Lonchura striata: one gene and its partners. The protein of the gene in region 2 interacts with the protein of the main gene of each other region in a pairwise test. Links are inferred from orthologs where the notes say so. Each region holds a gene or a part of one and is shown on either strand. Other genes may lie near its edges. The genes, in order: CYB561, EDA, DOLK and LEPROTL1.

Region 1 (6,659 bases), on a different chromosome or scaffold from region 2:
GAGCAGCCTTGAACATCCCTGAACATTTCTCAGCATCCCTGAGAGGCCCAGGAGGTCTCAAGCATCCCCTCAACCGGCAGGTCCATGCCAGGACAGCCAGCACAGGTTCTGGTCCCTAACTGACACATGCCCATGCCAGCAGTACCGCAAGGATTTCATTACCTCCAGCCTGGGGAAAGCTAAAGCAGATTTAATAAAGCCATTATGCCCCTGGCAATGCCTTTAATTAAAGAGCTCATTATAAATGGCCACTGCTCCCTGGTAAGAGGAACTCAGCAGGGAAGCGGCTCATTTGTCCCTGGATTGGCTGCCACCATGGCCCCTCAGCAAACACTGCCATTTTTCCTGTTGCAAGGATGGGACAAGATCCACCTCCATTTAATCCTGAAGGCTTAAGGGCCGTTGTCTTTCCTTGTCTGCTGGAAGTTGAGATAGTTCAGCTGAACATATGTTTATAAACATTTCTAAACCTATTTGGTATTGGGTTACACAGTGCTGTTCTCATCAGGGCGAAGCTTTATGTCTTGCCAAGTATCCTAAAGGATGAATCCCCAAATCTCATCCCCTTTATGGATTTTCCAAGGGTCTCAGCTGGGCTGTTGTGGGGGGAGTCCTCCCTCTGCTCTGCCAAGCCCCCTGGCCAGCCCATCTCAGCCATGGCAGATCCCAATGGCTGAAGGTTTTCAGTTTATGGTGGCTTTTATGGCTTTAGCAGAGGACTCTGATAAATCATTTTCTAACCAGTGATAAAGCCCCAGTGCAGGCTGGGTGGTGCCAGTGACTCCTTTGGCAGTGCCATACCCCATATCTCGAACCTCCCTCCCTCTGCTCGGGTGGTGGCCCTGGGACTCTGCCCCGGACTTTGCTGCTGCTGTGTCAGGTCTCCACAGGCTCTGGGGCTGCAGCGGGGTTTCGGTTCTGCTGAATCGTGTCGTGGCGGCGGTGCTCGCTCCCACCTTCGGCGCTTCGCAGCACAAAAGGAACGGGGATGTTGGTGGGGGTCTCAGCTGGGACATCAGGTGCCTTTACTCAGGGTTTCTGTGTGGGTGACAGCAGACTCGAGCGCCCAAGAGAAGGCACCTCAATAGAGGCTGTTACTCCTGATCTTCTGCGCCACGGGAGCCCCAGATCCCACCAGGAACTCCGAGTCCCAGGATGCTCCAAGCTCCCATGGGTGGTTGAGGGCACAGGGTGCTGTGAACCCCATCACGAGTAAGGGCGCGCCGATTCCCCAGGGTGCTCCGGCTCTCGGGGTGCCCCGGGTCCTTCTGGGGGTCCAGCTTTAAGGCTGCTGCCGTTCCTACCCGGTCCGTGCCTGGTGTCTGTCTCCTAGGGGTGATCCAGGGCCGAGGATGCTCCGGATCCTCGGGGCGCTCCCTCCCTCCCCAGGGCGCTGCGCGCCGCGGGCTCCTGGTGACATCTAGTGGTGTCACAGAGGGGGACAGACACAGGGACAGACACAGGGACACAGGGACAGACACAGGGACACAGGGGAGGGGGTGCTCCGGGGGTGCTGCTCGCCCCCGTGCGCAGCGCTGCCCGCCCGGGGGCCCTGCCCGCACTCGGCCAGGAAAAGCTGAGATGGGGACCCCCTCCTCTTCCCCCAGTTCACCTTATTTCCCCTCCTCTCCTGTCTGCAGGCTTTTTCTCCCTCAGGGGTTTCTCTTGGGGGTGCAGGACGTGCCCGGTGGTGCTCGAAGGGCGCGGCGGATGGAGGTCGGGGGCTGCTGTCCCCCTCTGCCATTGCCCGACCCACCGGCCCAGCCAAGGGGTTCTGCTTCCCAGGACGTCACTCCAGGGCTGCCGGTGGGTGCAGGGATGAGCCAGACCCATGCAAAGCCCAAACACAAATTAAATTGTGACCAGGCCCCTGTGCAGGGGACAGTCCTTGGCGTTGTGCAGGGAAGGGTCCCCGGGCTAGCCTGGTAGGGCTTGGTGCATCCTGGCCTGTTCAGGGCTCAGGTGCCTCCAGGTGCAGGGCTTCAGGTGGGTGCCTGGAACAGGGGGTGTGGAGTGTCACAGACACTGTTGGTAACTTACCTCCTTGGGGACTGTCCCCAGAATACACAGACCCTGCTTGTGGTGATCCCCTACTGGAAATGCAGGTGAACCCAGTGGGAAGAAATGGTGATGTCTGACTCCAGTTCCAAAGGCTGAATGATTTCTGTATTATAACTATACTATTTAAAGGAGATACTAAAACTACAAACCTACTTTTTCTAATTTCCACATCTTACTCGGTACAACTCGTGATCCTCGGCAGAGCCCAGCCCCAGGTGGGTTGGATTGGCCATCAGGCTCAAACAATCCTCACCAGAATCCAATCAAGCAATCACCCCAGGTAAACAATTCTCCAAACACATTCCACATGGGAAAAACAAGGAGCAGAAATAGAAATTGTTTTCTCTTTCTTCTCTCTGTGCTCCTCTATGAAAAAATCCTGAGAGAGAGAAGCATGTGTCTGCCACAATCCCCCTCTCACTTTTGCAGCCCCCCTGCCTCGGCTCCTGACACGCTCCCTCTCAGCTGTGCTGGGGTGCAGCTCCCTCTCGCTTTGTCATCGCTCCGTTGCCGTGCCAACGCGGTGGCCCTGTCCCTGTCCCTGCTCAGGCACTGTCACCGCTGGGCCCGGCACAGGCAGCGCTACCCGGCACCCACAGGTAGGGCTGGGGGACACAGGGGAGCTGTGCGGGTATCTGCCTTCAACCCCTCCAGTCTGTCACTCAGACCTTTCTCAGCTATGAACTGGAGAGAATCCCCTCCCTGCATGAGCATATACCCCCACCGAGAGCAGACACGGTCCCTGAGACCCCCCTGGCATTTTGGAGAGTCCCAGCCAGAGGCCACAGTGAGGGGCTGCCGGGCTGTGGAAGGTGCATCCTCCCCACCCAGGGCATGGGATTCACCGGAGAAAACACCCCACCGCAAGTCAGGAGCAATGGATTTGCCCTGTAAAGGGGGAACTGTGGATGTGCTTGGAACTGCAGGGGAGACAGAGGTTGGGAGGGGAACAGGTAGGTCCTGGAAGGGGTCCAGTCACCTCCAGTTTTTCCGGCACTCAGTGGTGGCTAATGGGCAACTCAGAATATCCTGCTCCCACAGGCATGCCCTGTGTCCTGCTGTCAGGCCCTGTGGTTGGGAGGGTTCATTGCCTGTCCCTCCATCCTCAGTGCTGCTGGGGGCTGTGTTTGCCTTGTGGGACTGCCAGCAGGGCCAGATGTTTGCATCTGGTGGGAGGGCAGGATAGGGATACATGGGTCCCCCATCTGCAGCCCTCAGATGTGCCAGCAGCCCCTCGGTGTGATGAGAGTTTGGGGAAGGCTCCTGTGATATGGGGGGAGCTGGTGCCTCTCACTGTCCCCCCCAGCCTGGTCTCCCTGCCCATCCCACAGAGCACCCCATGGCCCCAGGCAGTGAGGCTGGACACAGGCGGCCTTTGCAGTGCAACTTAATGGGATAAACCAATTCGCTTAACCCACTTATCTGGCTGATCCAATAAAGGTGGCTGGGAATAAAGTGTGTGCATGGCCTTAATGCATTTCCCCTCTCCATGCTCCCCCAGTCCTGGCAGCATCGTGGGTCCGTCTGCCACAGCTGGTGGGGGGCTCCTCCCCAGAGGCAGCGCAGAGCGGGGACATTGGCCCTGGGGACTGGGACCTGCTGGCTCCAGGTGCCAGGGAAGAGGAGAAGCGGCTGTGACAGTGGTGGAGGTGGCTCCGGTCCATTGAGGGATAACTCAGCACAAAGCATAGTGCAGGTGAGTTGTGGGGGCCATGGGAAGGGTCTGGTGTAGTTGTGGTTGGGTGACATCATGTGTTTGTCCCCCCGCCAGCACAGATGGTCACTCAGCCCCACGTCCCCGAGGGCCATTGTTTTTATCAGGGAGGAGTCCCTTGCTTACCCTTGTACTTCCTTCCTCTAAGGATTTGAGGGTTGTTGTGGGGGTCTGGGAGTGGGGGGCCTGGGGAGGGGGTGAATGTGGGACATGGGATGGGCATGGAGTGGGAGGGATGGGGATTGAGGGATGGGGACGGAGGGACAATGTTGGAGGGATGGGGATGAAAAGGATGGAGGCAGGGACAGAAGGACAAGGATGGAGGGGGGTGGATGGAGGGACGGTTGCTGCAGGAGGGCTGGGGCAGCAGGAATGGGGCAGGCAGGGCATAGGCAGGGGCGGGAGGGTTGGGAAGAAGGACAGGAGCAGGCAGGCAGGATGGGAGGATTGGACAGGAGTCCAGGAGCAGGCAGGAGGTGCAGAAGCACGGGGATGGGTGTGCCACGGAGGCTGGGAGCCACCTCCAGGTGTGGGTGACGCAGCAAGACCAGGAAGCGTCCGGCTCCGGCAGGTGAGGGTGGAGCAGAGGTGACGGACGCTGCTCGGAGCAGGACCTCACCCCAGGTTCGGCCAGCAGGGACCTGCTGTCCCTCGGGGCCACTGTGGCTTCGCTGCCCCTCCTCTCTGTCCCTGCAGGCTGCCATGGACGGGGCCCCGCCGCCCACCAGCCCCACCGGGCTCTCGGCCTACGTGGCCGTGTCGCAGCTGCTGGGCCTGACGCTCCTGGCCACCACAGGTGCCTGGCTGGGCCGCTACCGGGGCGGCGTGGCCTGGCACAGCCCCCTCCAGTTCAACGCCCACCCCCTCTGCATGGTGCTGGGTATGGTGTTCCTCCAAGGTGACGGTGAGCAGAACGGTGGGACGTGCCCTGTCCCAGCCGCAGCCTCCAAAGCTGTGGTCAGGCAGGGAACGAAGGGGACAAAGTGGTGACAAAAGACACAGGGAAGGAGCACCAGCATCCCTGGGCAATGCTGGGTGATGCCTGTGGATGCTCAGGTACCCTCTCTGTGCAGCTCTCCTGGTGTACCGGGTGTTCAGGCACGAGGCCAAGCGCTCCACCAAGACGCTGCACGCGTTGCTCCATGGCCTGGCCCTGGTCATCGCCCTCGTGGGTGAGTGCTGGGCTGCCACAGAGGGGTGGACGGGGCAGGATGCAGGCCTGGTGGTGACGGGTTCCTCTCCGCAGGCATCATCGCTGTGTTCGAGTCACACCGGGCTAAGGGCATCTCTGACATGTACAGTCTGCACTCCTGGTGTGGGATGGCCACCTTTGTGCTCTACCTCCTGCAGGTAAGGGGTGGGAAGCCCCTGGCCCCCCTGCAAGGATGGGTCTCTGCAGTGCCTATGACATCCCCGTGTCCCCACAGTGGCTCCTGGGCTGTGGTTTCTTTCTGTTCCCTGGTGCTTCCTTCTCGCTGAGAGGGTGGTACAAGCCCCAGCACATCTTCTTTGGCATCACCCTTTTCATCCTCTCCATCACTTCCTGCTTGCTGGGAATTACTGAGATGCTCCTCTTCAAAATCAGGTGAGTGACTGAACTGGGGAGAGGGGGTGGCCCCCCAGACCTCCAACAGAGGGATGTCCTTGTCCCTGCTCAGTCTGTGGCTCTTAAATCTCCCCTCGAGGTCTCTATTTCTGCTGCTGCTGAGTCACTTACCAGATGAAGTCTAACAAGGGGCTATATCCTACAACAGCTTTCTTTGGGAATGTGGATAAAATGCCCAGTGCCACTTCCCCGCACCCAGGTGTTTGCAGAACCACTCAGGAACTTGCGTCCCTGAGACCTCTGCTCCTGCAGCTGCACACTGGGCTCACCCCCAGACCCAGCACTGCAGAGACCCCAGGAGCCACTTCCCTCCAGCAGGGAGGGTACTGGGCTGCTATAGCCCTAGTACAGGACTGTGCCACCAGTTTAATCTGCTGTCACCGAGCGTCTCTCCCAAAAGTGAGCAAAACACAAATGCTCCTCTCTTGCTCTGATGTGGGGAAGGAACCTTCCCCATGGTGTGTGCCTGAAGGATGGGGATGGGGATGAGGACGGGGTCCCAGCCAGGATAGGGATAGGTCACCCATCCCTCAAAGCTTGAGCATCCCTCTCTATCCCTGCAGTGATTCCTACAGCCACTTTGTGCCTGAGGGCATCCTGGCCAACACCCTGGGGGTGCTGCTGGTGGCCTTTGGGCTGGTGGTGGGCTACGTGCTGACACGGGAGGAGTGGAAGCGCCCACCACTGGCAGAGGAGCTGGCCTTGTCCATGGACTTCAAGACCCTGACCGAGGGAGAGAGCCCTGGTGGTGGCAGCCAGTGACATCCGCAGCTCCTGGTCTCCAGCATGGGCTCCCTGTCTGAAATGTTCCTGTGCACCCTGTCCCTGGTGTTTGCATCTCTGCCCAGCCCTGGGTGACAAGGACAGCTGGAGAAGGACATGCTTGGTGCAATGCTGCCCGCTGGACTCAGCTTGGTCCTGATCATCCTAAGCTCTGCCCAGACCAGGCCCTGGTGACTCCCAAACCCACCCCAGCCCTGTGGGAAGGGCAGTGCTGTGGGCAGGGCAGGGGCTGGCAGGGGCACGAAGGAGAGGGGTCTCCAAGCTCTTCCTCCTCCCTGCTCTGGGGACGGAGCGGGAGTAGAGATTCTGCACTGTGGGCGGCCAAAGCCTACAGGCTGCTCTCAGTGCTGACGGACAGAGGGGATGTTTGCCACCACCAGGATGTCCCACTCACTGGCAGCCCCTCACCCTCCAGCACGGCCACGCTGAGAGGACGCTCCCCTAAAGGGCTCCCTGGCAGTCTGGAGTGACCCTGTGCCTGTGCAGGTTCAGCAG
Region 2 (7,057 bases):
CTTTCCCTGGCACCAGCACAGCCCGAAAGTGGCACCCCCAGGACAATGCCTTGGCCGGCTCCGGCGCTGACCCGGGATGTGGGAGCCGAGGGGTCGGGATGAGGGGGCCAGGAGGCACCGAGGAGGTTGAATAACGTGGTGTGGAATATCATTGTTCCAGCCAGGATGAGTAAGAGCACAGCTGAGCCTGGTCACCGACGGCACTGCCACGATTCCGGGGGAGGCAGGGGCTCGGAGACGGCTGCACAGTTGAAAATCAAGACAATGAGTCTATAAAAGTTTAAGAACTGAATAGATCCCGAACATTTGGTTTTCATTATCACCAAATAACATATAAATAAACATACAACAGAACCAAGAGCAGCATCTTCCTCACCCCCTCTGCATGAAGTTGTGTTTAGGCTGAGCTCGGGCTCCTTGGCCAAACCTCCTCCCAGGATGGAATCGTGGGGCTGCCAGGCCCCATCTTCCTTCAAAACACAGCAAAGCCTGATCCAGGCAGGAAAATGAGGTGTCAATGTGCTGCTGCTCCTTAAAAGTCAGCAGTGCAGGGGGAAATGTGAAAATAAGCCCAGCAAGAGTCAACACAGCTTTTTTTTTTCTTGTTGTAAAAAGCCCATCCCACTGCCTGCCATGGGCAGGGACACCTTCCTCTATCCCAGGCGGCTCCAAGCTCCCTCCATCCTGGCCTTGGGCACCTCCAGGGATGGGGCAGCCACAGCTCTGAGCAACTTAGTGTTCATTGTGAGAATTCACAGAGGAAGATGAGAGGGAGAGATGAGTGATTAGAGACACTGCGATGTCCTGAGAGGGGAAAATTGTTGAAGAGTCCCTGACAGAGCAAGGAAAAAAGCCATGAATGTGATTCCTTAGAAAAGCAAGATGAACATATTGCTCAATCCCTGCCCCTGTGGAAGCAGCTGGACACAGTTACCTTTCCTGCATGGCCAGAGCTCACAGTTACTGAATAAACAAGCAAAGCAGATTGTATGGAACATCTTAGATCTCACAGAGGAAGAGGAATTGAGACTGCAGTGCTGGATGGAGGCTCCATAAAATCAGGATTCTCCTTCCTAAGGGCTTGTAAATGCCTGTGGATGTGCAGTTGGAGTGCCAGGATTTCAGGTTTTAGGAGACTTTATTGTACTCGTGTTGTTGAGAACATCACTGAGAGAGCAAGGGATGGCTTTCCTCAAAAGAAAGTCAGGAATTCCAAAGCTTTTAGGTCACACATGTTAAACTGACTCTGCAGCCGCTGCAGGAATTGCAGCTGCTGCCAAAATGTAAATGGGAAATGGGCTCAAAGCTGCTTTACATCACTCGAAGATTCCCTGATCTGTGGAATTCACATGGAGAGGGGCACTCAGACCTGCCACCTGTGCTGTGCAGAGCTGTACCCCTTCCAAAGGCAAGGGAGATCTCCTGAGCTCCAGCAGCTTCCTCCCACCTGTGGTTAAATCCTGCTGGGATGGGAAGGCAATGCTGGAAAAAAACCCAGCAAGCTTGGGAATCAAGAGAAAAAATCGTTCCAGACATGTCCTCTGTGTGTTCTCCTCCTCTGCAGCCTCTGCCCACCCTCCCCAGGACCCTCGCAACTGCTCCTTGTTTTCCCATCCAGAGCATCAGGGATCTCTGTCCTTTCTGCATCTTCCCCACCCTCTGGCTCCTGCTTCTTCTGAACCAGGACTCTTGGAGCACAGGCAGGATACAAAAAACAGCTTAAACCTGTGAGGTTCTTTATCCATGTAATTAAGTTTTTCAGGAATGGCAGAGGAAGAGGAGGGAATGCTCAGAACAAGAGGAATTAAAAGAAAATCCTGGAGAAACTGGAACCATGGGCTGTGAGGTTCAACTGGTCGGGTGTGAGGATCTTATTTATTAATTATGTATTAATTCCATCATCACATGGGATTCTTTTTTAATTAGTGGGAAGCTGGTCAGCTCTAGGAGACAGAAATCCCTCAGTCTGAGGATTTGGCCTAAATCCCTGATGAGACTGAGGCAGGAATGGAGAGCTCACATCTTCCCCCAGACCCAGCCCCAGGTTGACCTGACCTCTAAAATTCACCTTCAAAGTAACCTAAATGACTCTGGAAAATGGGATGAGGCTGCTGCAAGTGTGGGTAGGTCCATGTAGGATTGGGGTTGGGGTTTTCATCTTGAAAACCAGGATTCTGGTGGTGCAGGAGTTGGTCTTGGTGATCCTTGCAGGTCTCTTCCAACTCAGGATATTCTGTGATTCTCTGAAGACCAGTAACAACACTAAGCACTCAAATAATTATAAATGTTCCTAAAATAATTGCAGGGGTTTGAACAGAGCGTTCATTTGTGTTTATTTGCTTTTTGCTCCTCCGTTGTTGGGGTTGGCAGCGCTTGATGCTTCCAGTTTTGCTCTTCCCAAATATTAGGGAAACATTTCTTTCTTAAATGAAAACAGAGACTCTCATGGAATTTCATGTCTGTGACACAGGACTTATAGGAAAAAAAACCTTACTGCAGGAAAACAAGGCCAGGAAGGGCTGGAAAAGGTCATCCTCCTCCCCAAAGGCAGGACAAGGCCACCATGGGATTCTTCATGGCTGTGATCTGTGGCATGAAGACCCCACAAATTCTCAGACGATGTGTTCCAGGCCTTGGAAGGGTTTCTCACGGAAGGGACAACCTCATGGGAAACTCACCCTGCCCCCAGGTCTGGGAGCACAGACCTGGCACGGGACCACCCAGCTCTGGGAGCCCACCCAGGGGGTTCAGCAGGACCCATGGCAGGGGCGAGCCGGTGACAATCCTTGGTGCTGGCCCTTCCTGGAGGTCTGGGGTTGGCTCTGACATCTCCCTGCACTGCTGACCCCTCTGCATCTGTGATCCTCCAAAACCAGCTGGAATCCTCCTCTGCAGTGCCACCTCCTCTGCGGCCATTAACACCTCGCATTTAACTCCTCTTTTACTGTTCCAAATCACATCCTATCCTCTTCATTCCACCTCTCAAGTATGTTCAGAACATCTCTAATTCCTCAATTCAAATTTCCTGGCAGCCTGTGAGCATCACACAGCACCTTCATCATCTCATTATCCCTCTCGTTATCAATTAAACCCCCTGATTGGAAATAGAACCAGCACAGGCTTTGCCAGCTCCTTTTGATGAGCTTTAAGGTTCTTCCAAACCAAACCAGGTGTGATTCGATACCACCCTTCCCTCTCCAAATCCGCTCCTCTCCCTGGTTCACCCTTTCCCAGGTTGTTTTCCAGCTTCCATTAGTCTCCAGCAGTGACAACCAACCTTTAAAAAGCTGGAGAGGGCAGCGACAGCTGCCCCAAAATGCTCACACACCCCTGGGCACCCCGGGCTCGGCCGTGTCCCCGGGCAGAGCGGCGACAACGCTGCCCCTGCCCGGGAATCGGCGGCGTTTGGTGCCCGCTCTCAGGAATCCTCCGCTGGCTGCGGAGACAGCGACTGCCGGGACGGACCGGGACCGGGATCGGGTCCATCCATAGCGGGACCGGTATAGGGTCCATCCATACCGGGATTGGGATCGGGATGGGAATGTCGGCCGGGACCGGGACAGGGCCCTCCTGAACCGCGCTGGCCACGGGCCCAGTCATCACCGCGCCTGTCCGTAACAGGACAGGGACAGGGATAAAGGGCCGGGATCGGGACTGGGACCGGGATCGGGACCGGGATCAGGATCGGGCTCGCAGCGGGGCGCGGCTCCAGCCGATGTGACTCCGCCCTCTAATTTGCATAACTCCGCCCACCGCGCTGCCGTCGCTGCCCAGGCCCCGCCCCCTCCCCGCCCAGGCCCCGCCCCCGGCCGGACGCTGAGGCGGCGCTGCCGCACCGAGCCCCGCCCGGCCCCGCCGAGCCCCGCCCGGCCCCGCCCGTCCCCACCGAGCCCCGCCGGCCCCGCCCGGCCCCGCCGGCCCCGCCCCCGGGCCGGCCCCGCCCCCTGGCGGGGCGCTGGCGGCCCGGCCGCGCAGCCCGCGGTGCCCGGCGCGCCCCGGGAGCAGCAGCGCTGGGGCCGCTCCGCGCCGCTCCGCCCGAGCGCACCATGGGCGCGGAGCGCAGGGCGGCGGCGCCGGCTCCCCGCGGCTGCGCCTGCGGCGGCGGCGGCGGCAGCTGGCGGCTCTTCCTCGGCTTCTTCGCGCTGTCGCTGGCGCTGCACGTCCTGACGCTGGGCTGTTACCTGGAGCTGCGCTCCGAGCTCCGCCGCGACCGCGGCCCGCAGCCCGCGGCCCCGCCGCGCCGGGACGGGACGGCGGCGGCGCCCGGAGCCCCGGCCGGGGGCCGCCCGCAGCGCGCGGCCGAGGGCGCGGAGCGGCGCCAGCAGGTGGGTCCGGCCGGCGGCGGGGGCACCGCGGGGGCTCCGCGCCGCTCGGGGCCGCCCCCCGGCTCCATCCCCGCGCTCGGGAGCCGCGGCCCGGGGCGCTTCGGAGCGGCCCCTCGGGGGAGTTTGCTGGGAGAAGTGGGGAAAAGCCCCGAGCTCGCGGTGCGGGGGTGAGGCGCGGGGGGAGCTCGTCTGGGCTGGGGGTGACGGGCTGCGGGGCCGCCCGTGTTCCACCTGCTGCTCGCCGTCTCCTTGTCGCGACGGACCCGCCGTGAGTCCCGACAGCGCAGCCTTGGCCGGGGGCAGCGGCTCTGCCCCGGCGCTTGCGGGGTGCCCCGGGGCGCTGCTGCCGGGGAGCCCCGCACGGCTCGGCCCCGCAGCCGCCGGACGCGCCGGGTCCCGGTCCCGCACGGCCTCCGCTCGCTCCCCTCGCTCCTCCCGCGCTCAGACTGCGCTTCTCCCCCAGCCCAGGTGCTTCATCTTTTGGGCGATGCCTCGGTGTCCCCCCGCAGCAGCCGCTCAGCCTCTGCGGCACAGGTGGGCAGCAGCCTCCCGGTTGTCCCCGCCGGTGTCCCCAGCCCTTGCGGGGGTCGCCTGTCCCGAGAGCCTCTGGGAGAGCCGGAGCGGAGCTGGGGCCTCCTCTCGCAAACTTAGCTCATTTTTTCCAGGCACGAAACTTCGCTGCGAGCAGGATAAGCTGGAGGAAGGAGTTTCCTCCCCTCCGAGCCTCCCGAGCGGATGGCCCGCTCCCCCAAGGTGCCGGGTGGCTTTGCCGCGGAGTCTCAGCGGGGTTTCGGGGGAGATGCCAAGCCCTGCCTCGGCACCCCGGCGGTCCTCGCCCGGCCGGTTATCAGTGTGTGGGGGGAAGGACAAAAATAGCTTTGATAAAGCGGCGAGTTTGGAACTCTTCCTCTCACTTGGCAGCGGGAGCCGTTCCGCCGCGCCGGCCTCGGCTGCCCCCGGGAAAGCCGGGCTTGCGCTTCCTTCGCTGCCTGGATCCCGCAGCTTCCCGTGACAAATCCAAGTCCAGCGTTGAACCGGAGGGAAGCCGAGCTCCCGGGTCATCGCTCTGCCCTCGCTGCTCCTCGAGCGGTGTCAACACAGAGCGAGCCGGAGCGGTTTGATGTCGTGCTGGGATTCCTGGGTTGCCTTGGAATAGCGCGCGGCTGGAGTGCCTTTCGTGTTATCGTGCTGGATCTGTTTAGTCTTTCGAGCTCTTCTTTCCAGCGAGTGTATAGTGAAATACCAGGGCAAATACTTGAGGCATTCATAAATTACAGCGTTAGATAATTTGTCTCTGGATGCGGACGGAGCTCCGAGCGTCGCTCGCTGCAGCTGACGGACTCCAGATAAGGTAACGCTAATTATTTATTTCTTTATTCTACATCTGGCCTGTCAGGCTTGAGATGAAATATTCTTTGGGGCACATTGAAGCAGTTGGGCTGGAGGGAAAGGTTGCTGGTAGTGGGGACACGGGGAAGGAAGGCTGAGCATCCCGAGCTGCTCCGCTGCTGTGACAGCGCATGATTAATGGGGTTTGTAGTGGTGCTGCTCACCCTTTCTCACTGATTTTTCTGCCTTGCAGCTAAAAACAAGCACTTTGGGTGTCCTGGGGTGCTGTGAGTTCATCTCTTCAGTGATTAAAACAGTGAAATCAGGGGTTTGCAATCAGCTTTATTTAGAAAGTTATTGTCCAGCTTTGGGGTACGTGTGGGGTTCCCAGCAGCCCTTCTAAGCTGTGCTGCTGATAAACTCAGTGCGATCCCATACATGTGATGCTTGCATAAATTGGGCTGAAATTACTAAATAATTAATTCAAGTGATGTGATCAATGACATTTCTCTCCTGAGGACCATGGTCAGAGTTCATTTGCGGGGGACCAATGACCACAGAGCTGTGAGCCCTCAAATGTCCTTCAGCTGCTGAGGTGTCCTCAGTGAAGAGGCCGAGTGCTGTGTGTGTTGTGGTTGTACAAATTTAAACCCAAAAGACACTCCCCTTCCTGACCCTTTTTTCTTTATTTTAAAATTATTTTATTTCCCCCCTCCCTTCCTGACCTGAGGCAGGAGGAAGAGGAGCATGGGGGGGAGGACGGGGAGCGATGGTCAGCGCTGAGATTTTGGCCAAAACCTCATCTGGCCGCGTGCCAGAAATGACCTCATGACAGGAGTGAGATTTGGCAGCTCGATAACGCCCCGCTTCCCTATCTCACAGGGTATCCAAATATGTAACTCATTTGGGATAGAAGGGCAGATTTTCATGGCAGAGGTTGAGGCATTGTAGTTGCACATCTTTGTCCCAGAACCCGGCGGGTGTTGCATCACCGCGTTGGCTGCGAGATGAGGAGTTTGTTAGAGCTGCTTTAATTCATTGACTCTTCAGTGGCTCGGAGGTGTGAGGGAGGGTTTGGGGAGTGGTGGAGCCTCGGCTGGTGGTATAAAATCCAAATGTTCCCTCCGGATGGGTGTGCTGTGGGATGGGAGAGGGATTCTGTCAGGCGGGCTCTGCTCTTGGAGATCCACATCAGTGCACTGTGTCCCTTTAGAGGATTTTGTGCCTAAATTAAATAGTATTTTCCTGTCAAAAAAATAATCCTTGCAATATTTGAGTTGTGCAGAGCATCATTCCCATGCTTTTCCTCCAACCAAGTCAATGTGCTGCCACATTTCTGCTAAAACTTGTGTTTTTGGCCAATGCTGGGTGACATGTGTGCTCTGAGAGTGTCCCAAGAAAGG
Region 3 (7,090 bases), on a different chromosome or scaffold from region 2:
AGATTTTCCACAGAAATAAAGTAGGTTTGCTGCCAACAGATCTTTTCCATAGAAAATACAAATGGAAATTACTAACCTTCAGCATCAGAGCCTGACTCTGCCTCTCGTCCTGAAGAACTGTCTGTAAACAAAATACAACAAAATAAATAGCTACTGGAGAAATGCCTACTGACAAAATACATGTTCACTTAATGACTAAAATAAAAGACAATTTTTCTTTCATTTGGAAAGACAGATTCCAAAAGCACAAAGCCAAACCACTCATTTTAACTACGTATTTCTTTTCCAGCTCCACTCTCATTCACAAATCTGTAGCTTTCCTGTATTCCTGTGACAGAGAGAGGAGCTGAGTTCCTGCAGAGATCCAAGAAGGAAGAGATAAGCCTGGATGCAGCTCCGGAGAAGAAAAGCTACAAAGCCATTTCCCCAGAACCAGGACTCACATGTGACCATTTGCATCAAAAAACAACTGTTATTAAGGAAAGATGTGGAGTAAATAGAACATAAATGGGAGCTATGGACCTTCAGGGAGTCTCTTGTTCCTCTGTAATCCTCTTGAAGATAAGATTGTAACAACTGCACACTCTGCTCTTCATCCAGACCCTGAACAGAAGAAAGAGAAATTATCAGAAATTAATAGAAGGCAACAGAATTCATTAAAGATTAAGATTCTCTCCAAATACTCAGGCCTCTCTTATCTTCAAAACAAATAACACGACAAAAGAATATTTTTGCACCAGGCAGATACTTTAATAAGCCCTTCTTTTAAAGCCAAATACACAAGCTTTAATGTCACTGAGCTGCAGTTTAACTTCAGCTAAAGGAGCATCAGTCATTTAAATAAAGGTACCACTAGCCACTGAACTCTAAACTTCTGGCTTAAAGAAACAAAACTTTGAAGATAAACTTGGAGGATTGTCAAACAAGGCAACTGATTTAAGGGACATCAGTTTTTTAGCTGAGCTGGCCTGGAAGAACCCAACTCAGACCCATAGCAGGTGGCTGCTGCTGCTGAAAAGGACCAGGAAAACCACAGCACCTCAAAGTTACTCACCACTTTGGAAGTTTGACCTAGAGCCTCAGATGTACTTCAACATCCTTTAGATTACTTTGAACTGAAAGGACCTTAAGTGTCTCTCTATTCAACATCATGAAGTCATTCAGTATCAGAATCCTGTAACAATTCACTCCAGAGATAAAAAATAATCCAAGAGCAGCTTCACTCACCAAAAACTTGCTGACTCTCAGACCCAACTCTTTTAGTGGAGCGGCTACATCTTTATCAGCTTTAATTTTTTCTGCTGAAGTCGTACTAAAGTGAAAAGAAATTTTAGTCATTAAAAATACAGCAATCTCAAAGAAAAAATTAAATAGGCATAATTTTAAAGTTCTCCACTCTTATCAGTCTAAACTGAACATTTGCTTCTTCCTCAGTGACCTTTCAATATTTCATACAATATTCTGTAACCTTCCTTTACTTACTAGGAAACTCCACATTTGAGATTAATTTCTAAAATCAGGCAGTGACTGTACCTCGGTGGTTTGTAGTATGACAGTCCCTCTAACAGCCTCTGCCAGTGCTTGTTCAACTCTGCAGCAATCTGAGCCTAAAACAGAACCAAACACCACTGAACAGACTCCTCAAAGTGCATTACCAAATATTACACCTGTTAAACTTCAGCAAAGCAAAGAAATTCCACCAGCACAAAGAGGCAGGAAGAACACAAGACTGGTGTCTGTGGCTCAGAGTGATTCCAGATGCAGCACTGAACAGGCAGGGAGCTGCACTGCCTGTTCCTAGGGAGGGTGAGGAAAAGGGAGGCAATGGACTGGATTTACAAACATTTGGATTCTCAACCTCTGGCCGAATTCCTGAAAGCACAGGCTCCATCCCTCAATATAAGACAGCAGTTGTACCACACGTGAACACCCCAGGGCAAACCAGGCAGCAGCACTTGTGCCCACTCCAGAAAAGGAACCACCTTTTCCATACACCCTTCCAGGCAGTTCATGCAGCAGCTGTAAACCAGCAGTTTACAGAAGAATAAACAAGTAGCAGAGGTACAGGAACAAAAATCATGCTGAGAAAGAAGGAAAGGCAGCAGAAAATATTTTCACTAATATTCAAAGAGTGTACAAATGATGTGTTTGGCCATGGAGCCCAATAAGTGATGGCCAAACCTGCTCTGCAGGGAATAACTTACTGGTTCTCTTAAAGCTGATCTGCCCAGCAAAATTGTCCATAATTCTCTGCTGCTCCTGCAAACACAAGGAAAAGGTGGAGAGCATTTTAATGATGAATGTTATTCCAGGCTTCCATCTAGCTTACACTTTTCAAACCTGCAATTAACTTACAGTGAATGACACTGCGATGCAAGAAAAATTATTTAAGGCACATTAGCTTCCAGCTAATGAGTTTCAAATGTCCTAGAAAAACCAAGGAAAAACCCAGAGAGGTGACAACTGACACAGCAAGACCTGTGAATTCACATCAAAACTTCACATTGATATCAGATTACCAGCTCAATTTGATTTTTTTACTTTAATTTGATTTAAAGCTCCTAAGAAGAAAATAGAAGCATAAAGCAGTATTCTACTATTACATTTAATGCTCTCCTTCAAACAAATTTTTCCAGCAGTTTCATCCTCCAGTCTAGGCAGAGCATAAAACTGTATGAAGTGAAAAACTCCACCATCTTCGCACAGACACCAGAACATTTACACTCAGCTTGTCATTTCTTCATGAGAACTCTGTAGAAAAGCCAACCTGCATTATAAAAATTACAGATCACACCCTGACCCTGGCACATGCATTCTAAAAGAAGTCTCCCTACAACAGCACAGAGAAAAGATATTTGCCAGAAACAGTATTTCACTTAGACAAACAATGATTTGCTAACAACACATTACAAATGAGGATTTAAACACCCCAACTCCTCACACAAAGACTGTCTACACAAGAACACTCATTGCCTTATTTTTAGAATAACATTATTAAAATAACTCACTGTGGCAGTGAAAGTCATCTGCAACTTCTGCCATGTGGTGACACTTAATGAATGACACCACCTGTTATTTCCAGCACACCCATCAGCATCATTCCTCCCTGCTCATTCCTCGATAGCTGGGTGCACTTCTCTGCCATGAGCCTCTCCAGCCCACGCAGAGCACCCAAAGACCCAGGTATTTACCAAGAACTGAACAGCAATGTGAAAGAGGCAATTCAATGAATCCCAGGTCCAGTGATCATGTCAGATCAGTGCCTTCATTTGCCTTGCACACATTTTTTTACTTATTGTCAGCTCTGAGCCCCAGCCTAGCAACGCCAACCCACCTACTTTTCACTCCTTCACAATCTCCTGTGAATAAAACAGACCGTGGTTTGTTGTCCCCTCATTAATAAGGCTCCAAGACAGCTAAGGGAGGAAAGCTCTCTGTATACGACCACAACGAACAGCGGTATCATTAATTTAATAAAAATTAGACACTAGGGAAACTCCAGAACATAAAAGCGTTATAATAAATGACAAAAAACGTGCTCTGGAGAAACGAAACCACTGAACTAAGATGATCACTGAACTCGGGATTGATTAAATCACTTCCATCACTCATTTCCACGCGTTTACTTTGACTTGCACGGGAGCGGCGCGGGAGGCGCAGCCGGTCCCGGTAGGGAAGGGCCGGGCCGGGCCGGGCCGAGCCGAGCCCCGCCACAAAAGCGCCGCAGCCGCGGCTCGCTCCGGCGCCCGAGCCGGGGCTCACTGAGGGTCCCTCAGCCGGGCGGGGGCGGGGCCAGCCCGGCGCGCGCCCCGCCGCGGTTAAAACCTCCCGGCCCCGCGCTGCGCCTCCTCCCCACAGCCCTGCCCGGCCCCCGGTGCCGCGGAGCGCGGCCCGCCCGCAGCGACAGCCGGGGCCTCCCAGGCCGCCCCCGCGCTCCCTCCGCCCGAGCGGCCCCGGCCCGCACCTCGCGCTCAGCCCGCCCGCCGCCATCTTCGCTCCGCTGTCACGTGACCCAGGGCTGCCGCCCTCCGCCGCGCCGGTGTCACGTGGTGCTGCACAAGCCACGCCCCCGCGCGTGGGTCATGTGACTGGCGGCGCGGCAAGATGGCGGCGCCCTGCGAGGTGGGTGCGGGCTGGGCTCCCCGGGGCGGTCGGGCCGGAGCACAAGATCCGCGCTGGAATCGGGAACCACCCGGGAGCGCCTCCGGCATCGCCCGCGGGCGGATGCCGTTCCCAGTAGCGGAGGCTGGGATGTGGGTGTCGCGGTTGAGGGGGACAGGAGGCGGCGGCGAGCAGGTGCGGGCAGCCCGCGGGTTGAGGGGCGTCCACAACGCTGCGGGGTCGTGGGGAAGAGAGGGAGCAATCAGGGGCTGCAGCCCGGATGTTTGGCAGCACGTCAGTGGGAAGCTTCCCCGCCCTGAGCAGCCGGCATGCGGAGCAGGAGACGGGCAGAAAACGCTGGGTCCGGCTCGATCCGCAGGGCGGTGGGTCCCGTTCGATGATGAGAGCGGCAGTGCCGAGGAGCTTCACAGTACCTGAAAGAAGGTGCGGAGGAGGGGATTGCGGCAGGCACAAGAAAACGAAATAACTCATTAGTGAAATATAGACTGTCAGGTCTAAGCATTCAGAGCCGCTCCATCAGAGACCTCAGGCAGGGTGAATTTCTACCTACTCTTGCAGCCCGGCGGGGAAGCTGTAATGCCATCGATACGGGAGCTGGGGTGCAACCTTAAGGTTGCCAGACTGAGTAGGAGGACTCTGTCTTTGGCTGGCAGGTGGCATTTACTCTGCTTCTTCTCAAATAAGCCTTAGGCTTCCCCCTCCCCAGTGCTCAGAAACAGCAGGGAGTACAACCCAAAAACTGTTATTGGTTGGAGGTAGATATTGCCCAGACCAGTTCTGGTTTATTGACTGTATGATTAATTCTTCTCCTGTTTAAAAATTAATTGCAATGACAAGAAATGACATTTGGCCTGAAGGAGCTGTGTAGCAACAGTGCATGTAATGAAGGTGTTTGGCAATCAAGTATTTCAGGCTATATGAATAAGGATGCCAAAAAGCAATCCATCAGTAAGTTTTCAGTACAAGGTTATAAATATCTAAACACTGCAGACACGCTAAGAAAGTTTTACAGTACAAACTGTAATAATTTCTCAGTAATATTGCTATTACTTTGTCAGCTTTGTAATCTAGTGTCACCATTCAACACTGGCTGAAAACCCAAAAGAGAACCTTAAATAAACTTCTGGTCTTCCATGAGGGAGCTGATGTAGATACTGGCATTGAGACTGGGGGAGCAGAATTTAGTAAGACTTTGCTGCTAATCAGCTTAAGGGTGGTCCAGAAGGGATAAAGTAAGCCCTTTTCACAGCTGGATCAACCATAATATTTCCAATAGACATAAAGAACAGGAGAACTTCAAAGACCCCAGAAGAGAGGCCAGTGTAATGGTAGAGGTTTACATATGGCCCATTATCAAATGATGTATCCATAGAGAAATCAGGGTCACCAGAAAGCAATAAATGCTGGTGAGAATTGCACAATGATGTCAATGCCCACAATTCTTTGAAGGAGATAAGATTTAACCTAACAGAGTAAATGTGGCTGTTGCTGAATATTTTAACTGCTTACCCTCCAGTCCAGACGTTTAAAGCAAAGCTTGGTTTGCAGTGCAGCTGTCAGTGTTGTCAATGCCCACAATTCTTTGAGGGAGATAAGATGAGATTTAACCTAAGAGAGTAAATGTGCCTGTGGCTGATTATCTTAACTGCTTACCCTCCAGTCCAAACGTTTAAAGCAAAGCTTGGTTTGCAGCTGTCAGTGAGCTGTGAGCCTTCACTTAGAGAAGATGAACTGCAGGATTTACTCACCTCACTTTTTTTTTAATTCATCTGTGTGTTGACTTTAGCAATTAGCACTTAACTATGAGTTTGAGTTTAAGAACCAAATAGCTGTGCAAACACTTCAGCTGTCCAAGTAGTTGCTTTAATTGCTTGCTTTTTTTTTTTTTTAATAGCAATTGCAGTAGCATGGAAGGGAATTCTTCCTAACAGGCAGCTGAGACTGGTGAAGTTGTGCAGGCCTGAGCAGGCTGGGCTGGAGTCATGTCGAACAGGGCAGTGCTGGTGGAGTCGCTGCTGGTGTTCACCGCGGTGCTGGCGGTGCACGCGGTGGTGTGGGACCGCTTCTCCTGGTGCGCCGTGGCTTTGGCCGTCCAGGCCTTCTACGCCCAGTTCAAATGGGACTGGCTGCTGCAGCAGGGCGGGGCTGTCTTCCAGTTCCGGGGTGCAGCCAACAGCGGCCTCCTGCCTGCCAGCATGGTCATCCCCCTGCTGGGGGTGGTGATGAAGGAGAGGTGCAGGGCTGCCGGCATCGTCTACTTCGAGCGCTTTGGCATCGTGGTGGCTTCCACGGGAATGCTGCTCGCTCTCTTCCTGTCCGTCTTGGCGGTTGGCATCACCAAACCTGTGCCAACCAACACTTGCATCCTGACTGGTGTTGCTGGCAGCGTAATTATCTACACCATGAAACATTCCTTGACTGTCTCCGAAGTGATAGAGGTTCTGGAAGTGCTGCTCATTTTCGTCTACCTCAGTATGATCTTGCTGTACTTGTTGCCTCGATGTTTTACTCCCGGGGAAGCGCTGCTGGTTCTCGGAGGTATAAGTTTTGTTCTCAACCAGCTCATTAAACGCTCACTGAATGTAATCGAGGGCAGAGGGGATCCCACTGACTTCTTCCTTCTGGTAGCAGTTGTTGGAGTTGTTCTTCTTGGTCTTTTTTTCACCGTGCTCTTCATTTTCATGGATTCAGGCACATGGATCTCCTCCATGTTTTTCCACATGATGACAGCAGTGTTAGGCTTAGGGGTCATCATGCCGTGGCTGTACCGACTGATCCAGAGGAACCCTTTGTTCTGGCTGCTCCAGTTTCTGTTTCAGACACAGACAAGACTTTACCTCCTTGTGTATTGGACTTTCTTGGCTGCCTTAGCATGTGGGGTGGTTTTCTACCAGAATGCTAAGAGATCATCTGAATCTAAAAAACACCAGGCCTCGACTATAACCAGGAAATATTTCCACTTCATTGT
Region 4 (7,101 bases), on a different chromosome or scaffold from region 2:
GGATGGCCACTGCATGACAAGATGCCTGTGGATAGTTCTTTTCACCACTGCTGCCAGCTGAAGTCGTCATTGCTGCCAAAGACCAAGAAAAATCCCAGGATGGTGGCAAAGATGACTGTATTCCCAGTGAGAACGAGTGCACATGCACCCCAGTAAATCTGTGAACAGGGGGAATTCAGTTAGACACATTTGGAGCTGAACACTAACAAGACACTAGGTAACACCTTATTGTCCCATTCTCGACAAAGTTCAGTAACACTGAACCATGATGCAAGACGCAATATCTCATTATTTGCGGTCACACCAAGCAGGCTGGTGTAAATTACTTGACAAATTCACAGCCAGCCAAGCAGCACTGCAAGTTTCTTCTAGCTGTACTCAAAGCATTGGCTAGCAGGCACAACTGGTTTGGTATGCAAAGTAAGGCTAGACAACAGCATCAAACACATCTGCAGCCCAAGCCATGCTGTAAGACTTTTTATAACAGGTATTTAAGATCTTCAAAACGCCAGCAGATATCCCAGTAGCAAAAAAGGAGGTGGATGCTTTCACAGGAGAGTAAGTGGATTACTCAGAGGGTGTGAGGCATTCCAACTGCACATTCCATATGAAAGTGCACTCCATGTTTTTTGACTTGGTAGTGCTTTCTGAATTCACACAAACAAAGTGAACTTTTAAAGTATTTTAGTGAAAGCTGTATACTGGGAAATAAGTAATGAGAACTTGGAAGTTTAAGAAAATTATACCAATATCACTTCAAATATAATTTATGGTGAGTATAAAAATGCTTTTTTTTGTTTGTTTATACATGCTGCTTTAGCCCAGCTATTCCACAAATTGTCTTTGAAGTATTCTTTACACTTCTATATTTGGTTACTTCCCTGTAAAGTTTTCACAGTATTTTCTGTCTCATTTTCTCTGCATTGTATTGTTAGTTTATTCCATGACCATGTAAAGCAATTGGCAATCACAATGTTCTGCCACACTTCCATTTCTGTATTGATTTTTCTTGCCAAAAAAAAAATCTTATTCTGGTTCCAAAAGTACATAATTATACGTTATTTAGTGCATGAAAGCTTTACCTTCAATAAACAAACAAACACAAAGAACAAAGTTTTCTGGGAAGAAAAAAAGCAATCACAGGTTGAAATACTACTAACCAGTTCTGCTCTTGCAAACACTATGGGCAGCCCAAATGCTGAGACCACAATGCCTGTTGTAAGGAATATGGCCAGCTCCTTGCAGGCATTACTTGTAGCATCTGTGTCATCTACCAATCTTCTTGCTATGCAGTACGGGATAGGAGAGAGGATGTAAAAAAACAGAACAAACAGTGGCCAGTACTGGCTGAAAAAGAAAAGACAAGAAAAGTTTTAGTTAACTGGGTTTATTTCCTGCTCCTCCTAAAATCAATGCAAGGCATTTTCCCCATCAGCATTCCCATTTAGGAAAGACAGAAAAGCCCAGAGAAGCCAAATCCCTTACCTTGGAATGAACTGACCCTAATCTAACAGACCATGTGCACGAGTGGTTTCAGCTGACCTCAGCAGCAGCGGAGTTCACCAACAGGATATTAACAAATCAAGATTTCACTAAGCAAGCCTAAATCTAATGCCACCTCACAAGGAGAGCTTAACTCCAAGTTTATCCTGCCAGTTGTACTTAAGAGATACCCTTGAAGCACCCCAGACTAGATTTCTCAGGCACACAAACACAGGTGCACATTGCTTCAATAAAACTTTACTGCATTGTTTGAAGGCAGCTGCATAAGGGTCTCCTTCCCAAGGGTGTCACTAGCACTGGTTTCATAACAAAAGAAAGCTGGCCTAGGAATTCTAGTCATATATGTAGAAACTGCAATTCACAACCAATAACAGGTCTATCAACAGGATACTTGGTATTTATTCAACAGCGAATAAGTAAATTTAAAATCTTTCCTGTATAGGCAGCATTCACTTGCAAAGAGTCAAAGCCGTAAGCCTTATTATCTAAGCACTTGGACTGCTACTTTGTATCTCCTGAAAACCAAGAGATAGGAATCGATGTCAGGAAAGTACAGACAGCAGCTGCAATTACTCGAGATGCTGTACTGCAAGTGTGGGGCACAGCCAAGGATCGCATGATAGTCACCGACAGCCCAGCTACCCCTAGGCAGCCACAGAAAAAGCCAATCCTTCCCCGGATAACCCACACCTGCTGCCCACCTCGGGAGATGCTGCTGTCTGATGGCCAGCCACAGCGGGACACCAGTCCAGACAGTCAGGGCAATGCATCCTTTCACGGTTTGCAGCCAGGTCTAGTGGCTTAACTTTTGCTCCTTTGCTCTTTAGGATTAATTAAATCCTGGATAGTCTGTTTTTTTATTCCCACCACGATCTTCTGAATCAAAAGCCAAAAAAGCCCAACCAGCCAAAAAAAAAAAAAAAAAGAAAAAAAAAAAGAAAAAAAAAAAAAAACACCACCAAAAAAACCACCAAAAAACCCCACAAAAACCAGAAGCCCCTCCTACGCAGAGATAACTCATCAATCCACCATTATGGAAGCGGGACTCCTCTTAAGTTACAGCCGCAGGAAAAAGTAGAATAGAAAGAGTGCACGGTACTTGTATTGGGGCAGGGCGCATCCGAGCATCAAGAACATCAGTCCGACCGCTCCCCCAAAGGACAGGCTGATCAGCGCTACAACGAGAACAAACCCAAGCCACATGAAGGGGGCAAGGCACCGCGCACAGCACCGACCGCCCCCGCGGACCAGCGCGGGGCTCAGCGCAGCCCCGGCGGAGCTGGGACACTCGGGGTCCCGTGGCGGCTCCCGGCCGCTCCCGCCCGAGAGCCCGCCCGGCCCCTCCCCGCGCGCGCCCGCCGTTCCCGGCCGCGCCGCGCGCACCTTTGATTCCCGCCATGGCGCCGCCCGTCCCGCCAGCCGCGCGGCACCGCAGAGGCGCGCGCCGGAAGCCGGAAATGCCGCGCGGAAGCGGAAGCCGCTTCCGGCACGGGGCAGGGGCGTGCCCCGCCCCTCGCGGGCCGGCCCCGTGACGCTCATACGTGGCGCGCGCAGGGCCCGCGGCGGCAGCCCCGCCCCCTCGCCGCCCATTGGCCCCGCGGCGCGTTGGGGCGGGGCTTCCCCGCGCGTTCCGGCGCGAGCGCCGCCCCGGGCGGACGGCGGCGGCTCCCGGTGCTGCCATGGCCGGCCTCGCTCCGCGCCTGCTCCTCCTGCTCTGCGCCGCCGCGGGGCCCGCGCTGGGCTGGGACCGACCGGGTGAGACCCGCGGGGATAAGGGGGCTCAGCGCGGCCGCAGCCGCCCCTGCGCTCTCCGGGCGCGTTGGCGATTCCTCGCGGCCCGGCACCGCGCCGTGCCGCCGGTTAGCGGCGGCCGGCACGGGGAAAGAAGGGCTTGTGCCGGGGTCCGCGGCAGGAAGGTGTTGGGGTTCGGGCTCCCTCTAAACCGGCTCGTACGGCAGCAGCGATCCGCGCCGCGGTCTGCGGCGGTGTCTGCCTGCGAGGGGTAGCCCAGAGCCGCCTCGGACGGAGACGGGGAACCCTGCCATGTTTCCCTCCGGGCGGCTGGTGCTTCCTAGAGCTTCGACTCGTAAACGTGCAGGCTTACTGCTTCGGCCTCTGTGGCCAGCCTTCTCCTGAGAGGAGGCCCTGGTAGAAAAGAGGAGTGCTCCTGCACAAGCTCTGACAAGCAGTAGGAAGAAATTTTTCTCAGGAAGAGTGATCAAATATTGGAATCGGCTGCCCAGGATGGTGGTGGAGTCACCGTCCCTGAAGGTGTTTAGGGAAAAACTAGACGTGGCACTCTGTGCTGTGGTCTGGTTGACATGATAGGGTTCTTTGATCGAGGTTGGACTCGGTGATCACAGAGGTCTTTCCCAGCGGAATGTGGGGAAGCAGACTGATGTTTTCATCGTTGGGGCAGTGTGTGAGTCTTTGTGCTGCCTGTTTCAGGGAAGGTTCTGCTGCGGGACGTTCAGGCACTCACTCTCCACCGAGGGCAATACACAACATCCAGGCGGACAGCTTCGATCCCTCAGCTGCAGTGCACAGGAGGCTCTGCGGGGTGTTCCCATGCCCCCGAGGTTGTTCAGTGTTACAACAAAGGATGGGATGGCTATGATGTACAGGTAACTATTTAAAACTTACTAAACTGTTTATGAAATCACTTTCCCTCAAGTTGGTAAGTTCTGAAGGAGCGAAGAACAGTGAGCTAGGTTGTCAGTAAGATGCTTTTTGTTAAGATGAACTCTTGTGCTGAAACTTAACCTAAATACTTTTAGGTTTGGATTTTTGAGAACTACTACAGTTATGTGTTTGATCTGTCTTTGAAAGAGCTAATGTAAAAGTATGACCTTGGTTGGTTTTAAATAAAATGGTGCTCAAGTTTATAAAATCAAACTCTTGCAAACTCCAGAGGATACTTTTTAATTATTATTGCTGTGTGAATTTGCGTAGAAAGGGCTTCTTAATATTTGATTCACTTCAGCTCTACCTTTTAAAAACTAGATTTCAGACTTGCCTGACTTTCATTTGCACCTTCGGATGTGAGTGCTAGTCAGTAAATTCTTGACTCTCAGCTGTTAAAGATGCTGTTGTCAATACATAACCAGGAATCAAGGCTGAAAGTAATTGCTAAAACTGATTCAGTATTGTGAAAGAACAGTCAAATGTTAATTGGCAGTTGGTACTGCTGTACTGAATTACTAATTTAGAGACAACTAATTTCTTATTTCCTCTCCAAAATGCATGTCATGTGCCACTAGAGATCCCTGTGTTTGGATACCTCAAGGGAATGTGAGCCTGGGGATCCACCTGTATTCGACCAGAGAATTCCCAATATAGTTGTTAAATGTTGCATATAGATGCCTAATGATGTCTGTCCCAGTTTCTTTTGATTTCTGCACAGACACAAATGGACACAATGGTGCACTGGATCTCCAGCTCATGTGTTATGTTTCTGTAGCTGCCATTGAGTTTGCACAGGACAGGCATTTATTATGTAACTGTTGCACAGGGTACAGCACATTTTTAGAAGTATTGCTGTATCTTAGGAAGGGATATTTGAAAAAGTGTCCAGTGAAGAAAAAACTAAATCTTCCAGAGCTGAATTCTTCAGTGTTCTGAAAGATAAGATATTTCTTAAGTTTTAGGATTTAATGTTCATTTAAACATCAAATTCCTACTCCTTTTCAAAATAGGAGCACACGGAGATTTCTTACCTATGGCCTGTAGATGATTTGTTAGCAATTACTGCTTTATTTCAGGGCATATGTGGGGAAACAGACGGATGTTTTCATCTTTGGGGCAGTATGTTTTACTTTTTACTGTGTTTATTTTTTCAGTGGCAGTGCAAAGCAGACCTGGAAAATGCCTACCGTTTTGGACAAATGGAAGTGAGCTGTGAAGGCTACGATTACCCAGATGATCCTTACATACTGAGAGGCTCCTGTAGTTTGCTGTTCAAGCTAGAGCTGACTGCAGAAGGTGAAAGGAAAATGAAGAACTCTGGAAGCTTTGGCTCTAGCTATTACCAGTCAAGGAAAGATTATTCTGATTTTGGTTCTGGAGCAATTGTTGTAATTGTTCTTCTCGTTCTTGCTTTTGGAGTATACAAGTTCTTCCTCAGCAGCCAGCAGTCTCAGCAGAGTTCTGGGGGCAATGATGGCTTCTCTCGGCCCTTCTGGCAGAGTCAGCAGGCACCTCCTCCTCCTGGTTTTAAGTCCACCTTCACAGGTAGGGCTCTGAGCCATTTACAATATTCAAACGAGTGAGCAGGATTGTCCTGTTTTATCTGCGGTAAGGGAAGGTGGGATAGAGTTAAACCACAGCATTTGCAGGCAACTGCCCAACTGGCTGCAGAGCCTACGGTCAGCTTTGTATTCTAGAAGGTCTTTGTTCAAAAGAGGAAATAAGAGCTTGGCTTTCCACAGGCTGTTGTGAATAATTATATTTATCCATCCTTCCCAACATCAGGCTTTCAGGGCAGGCTGGCCCTTTGAACCTTTGAAAAACTACCTCCCCATGCTCTGCAAGCATTCTTTTCATCACCTGTGAAATAGCAGGATTGTGACTGGGAGAAAAATTGTCATAGGCAATCTAGAAAAGAGAATGTTCTTACACAGGCAGAAACAAACCCATGCCAAGGGAGCACTCTGAAACTTTACAGAACAGCCTTTCAGCCCTGATTTCATTCACAAAGCAGTTGATGGAGTGAGTATCATGTACCAGTCCTCTGTTTAACAGGGCTCCAGTGTAGTCCTAGCAGCTGAAAGATTTGGTTCCCAGAGCAGAGAACAGTGTCTATGAACAGTTGTTAGAGGGTACAGCATCTGAATCTCATGTGGGGCCTTTCATCTGAAGCTGAAAATTACAAAAGCAGAGACAGGGAAAAGAGGCAATTTTTCTTTTCCCAGAAAACTGGTGACTTCTGTCATATAATAAGTGATCTGCCTTAGGCTGTCATAGTGTCTCAGGGAAATAAACATTACTCATCTGGTGTCTGACTAATTTAACCCTGTAAACATGCAAGCTGCTCACAGCACTGGAACTTAAATTACATTCTTACAAGTTACATAATTTTTTTTCTCTTTTTTTGTTGCTAGAGAAGGGGTTTTGGCAAGAAAATATGTAGCAAGAATTAGGTTTATTAGTTGAAAGTTTATATTTTAATAATGCTTATTAATGCTTTCTCTGAGTTTTGTTCAAATGGCTTGGCCAACAGAGGGTGCAGTATAATTCTTTTGGATTGGGCATGCACAGCAGAAGCTTTCAGCTGTACCTGCACCAGAAAATTAAAGGGAATCTGCTTCTGTTGGCTTTGCAAATTGTTTTGCATGTTTGTGTTGTGTGGGCATCAGTGGCCATATGTGGGCATAGCACTGGCTGTACTGTCATGGTCAGTAGGAGCCCTGGCCATGACACACAGCTCTGTCACACTGGGCACAGGAGAAACAATGAAGGGTTATTTAAATTTTTTTTTTCTGTTCAGTTCCGTGTCAGTTAATTGCCCCAATGCATTTTTCTTTGCAGGAGTCACAAATCTAGCAAGGGCAGGGCCTTGAGAATGTTTTCTTGAGGATTGCTGAAAACTGAGACATTTAA

Evidence for each region.
Region 1: the proteins of EDA (region 2) and CYB561 interact in binary tests that used the Homo sapiens proteins (3 or more experiments, as listed by UniProt). The two-hybrid records come from large-scale screens. The link is inferred for Lonchura striata from reciprocal best matches to the Homo sapiens genes EDA and CYB561.
Region 3: the proteins of EDA (region 2) and DOLK interact in binary tests that used the Homo sapiens proteins (3 or more experiments, as listed by UniProt). The two-hybrid records come from large-scale screens. The link is inferred for Lonchura striata from reciprocal best matches to the Homo sapiens genes EDA and DOLK.
Region 4: the proteins of EDA (region 2) and LEPROTL1 interact in binary tests that used the Homo sapiens proteins (3 or more experiments, as listed by UniProt). The two-hybrid records come from large-scale screens. The link is inferred for Lonchura striata from reciprocal best matches to the Homo sapiens genes EDA and LEPROTL1.

What each region holds. Positions count from the first base shown.
Region 1 is NC_134627.1:9,074,565-9,081,223, forward strand, and holds CYB561 (transmembrane ascorbate-dependent reductase CYB561), read left to right. Parts: upstream 1-4,471; 5' UTR 4,472-4,477; coding exon 4,478-4,679; intron 4,680-4,848; coding exon 4,849-4,947; intron 4,948-5,021; coding exon 5,022-5,125; intron 5,126-5,202; coding exon 5,203-5,360; intron 5,361-5,944; coding exon 5,945-6,143; downstream 6,144-6,659. UniProt on the Homo sapiens protein: Transmembrane reductase that uses ascorbate as an electron donor in the cytoplasm and transfers electrons across membranes to reduce monodehydro-L-ascorbate radical in the lumen of secretory vesicles.
Region 2 is NC_134616.1:5,473,871-5,480,927, reverse strand, and holds the start of EDA (ectodysplasin-A), read left to right. Parts: upstream 1-4,046; coding exon 4,047-4,325; intron 4,326-7,057. UniProt on the Homo sapiens protein: Cytokine which is involved in epithelial-mesenchymal signaling during morphogenesis of ectodermal organs. Functions as a ligand activating the DEATH-domain containing receptors EDAR and EDA2R. May also play a role in cell adhesion.
Region 3 is NC_134624.1:249,830-256,919, forward strand, and holds the start of DOLK (dolichol kinase), read left to right. Parts: upstream 1-4,080; 5' UTR 4,081-4,122; intron 4,123-6,016; 5' UTR 6,017-6,104; coding exon 6,105-7,090. Other genes in the region: nucleoporin NUP188, read right to left, coding at 77-121, 523-603, 1,228-1,312, 1,534-1,607, 2,205-2,259, 3,965-3,990. UniProt on the Homo sapiens protein: Catalyzes CTP-mediated phosphorylation of dolichol, the terminal step in de novo dolichyl monophosphate (Dol-P) biosynthesis. Dol-P is a lipid carrier essential for the synthesis of N-linked and O-linked oligosaccharides and for GPI anchors.
Region 4 is NC_134606.1:44,188,288-44,195,388, forward strand, and holds the start of LEPROTL1 (leptin receptor overlapping transcript-like 1), read right to left. Parts: upstream 3,002-7,101; 5' UTR 2,903-3,001; coding exon 2,887-2,902; intron 2,679-2,886; coding exon 2,603-2,678; intron 1,348-2,602; coding exon 1,161-1,347; intron 159-1,160; coding exon 42-158; 3' UTR 1-41. Other genes in the region: SARAF (store-operated calcium entry-associated regulatory factor), read left to right, coding at 3,183-3,258, 3,952-4,127, 5,343-5,733. UniProt on the Homo sapiens protein: Negatively regulates growth hormone (GH) receptor cell surface expression in liver. May play a role in liver resistance to GH during periods of reduced nutrient availability.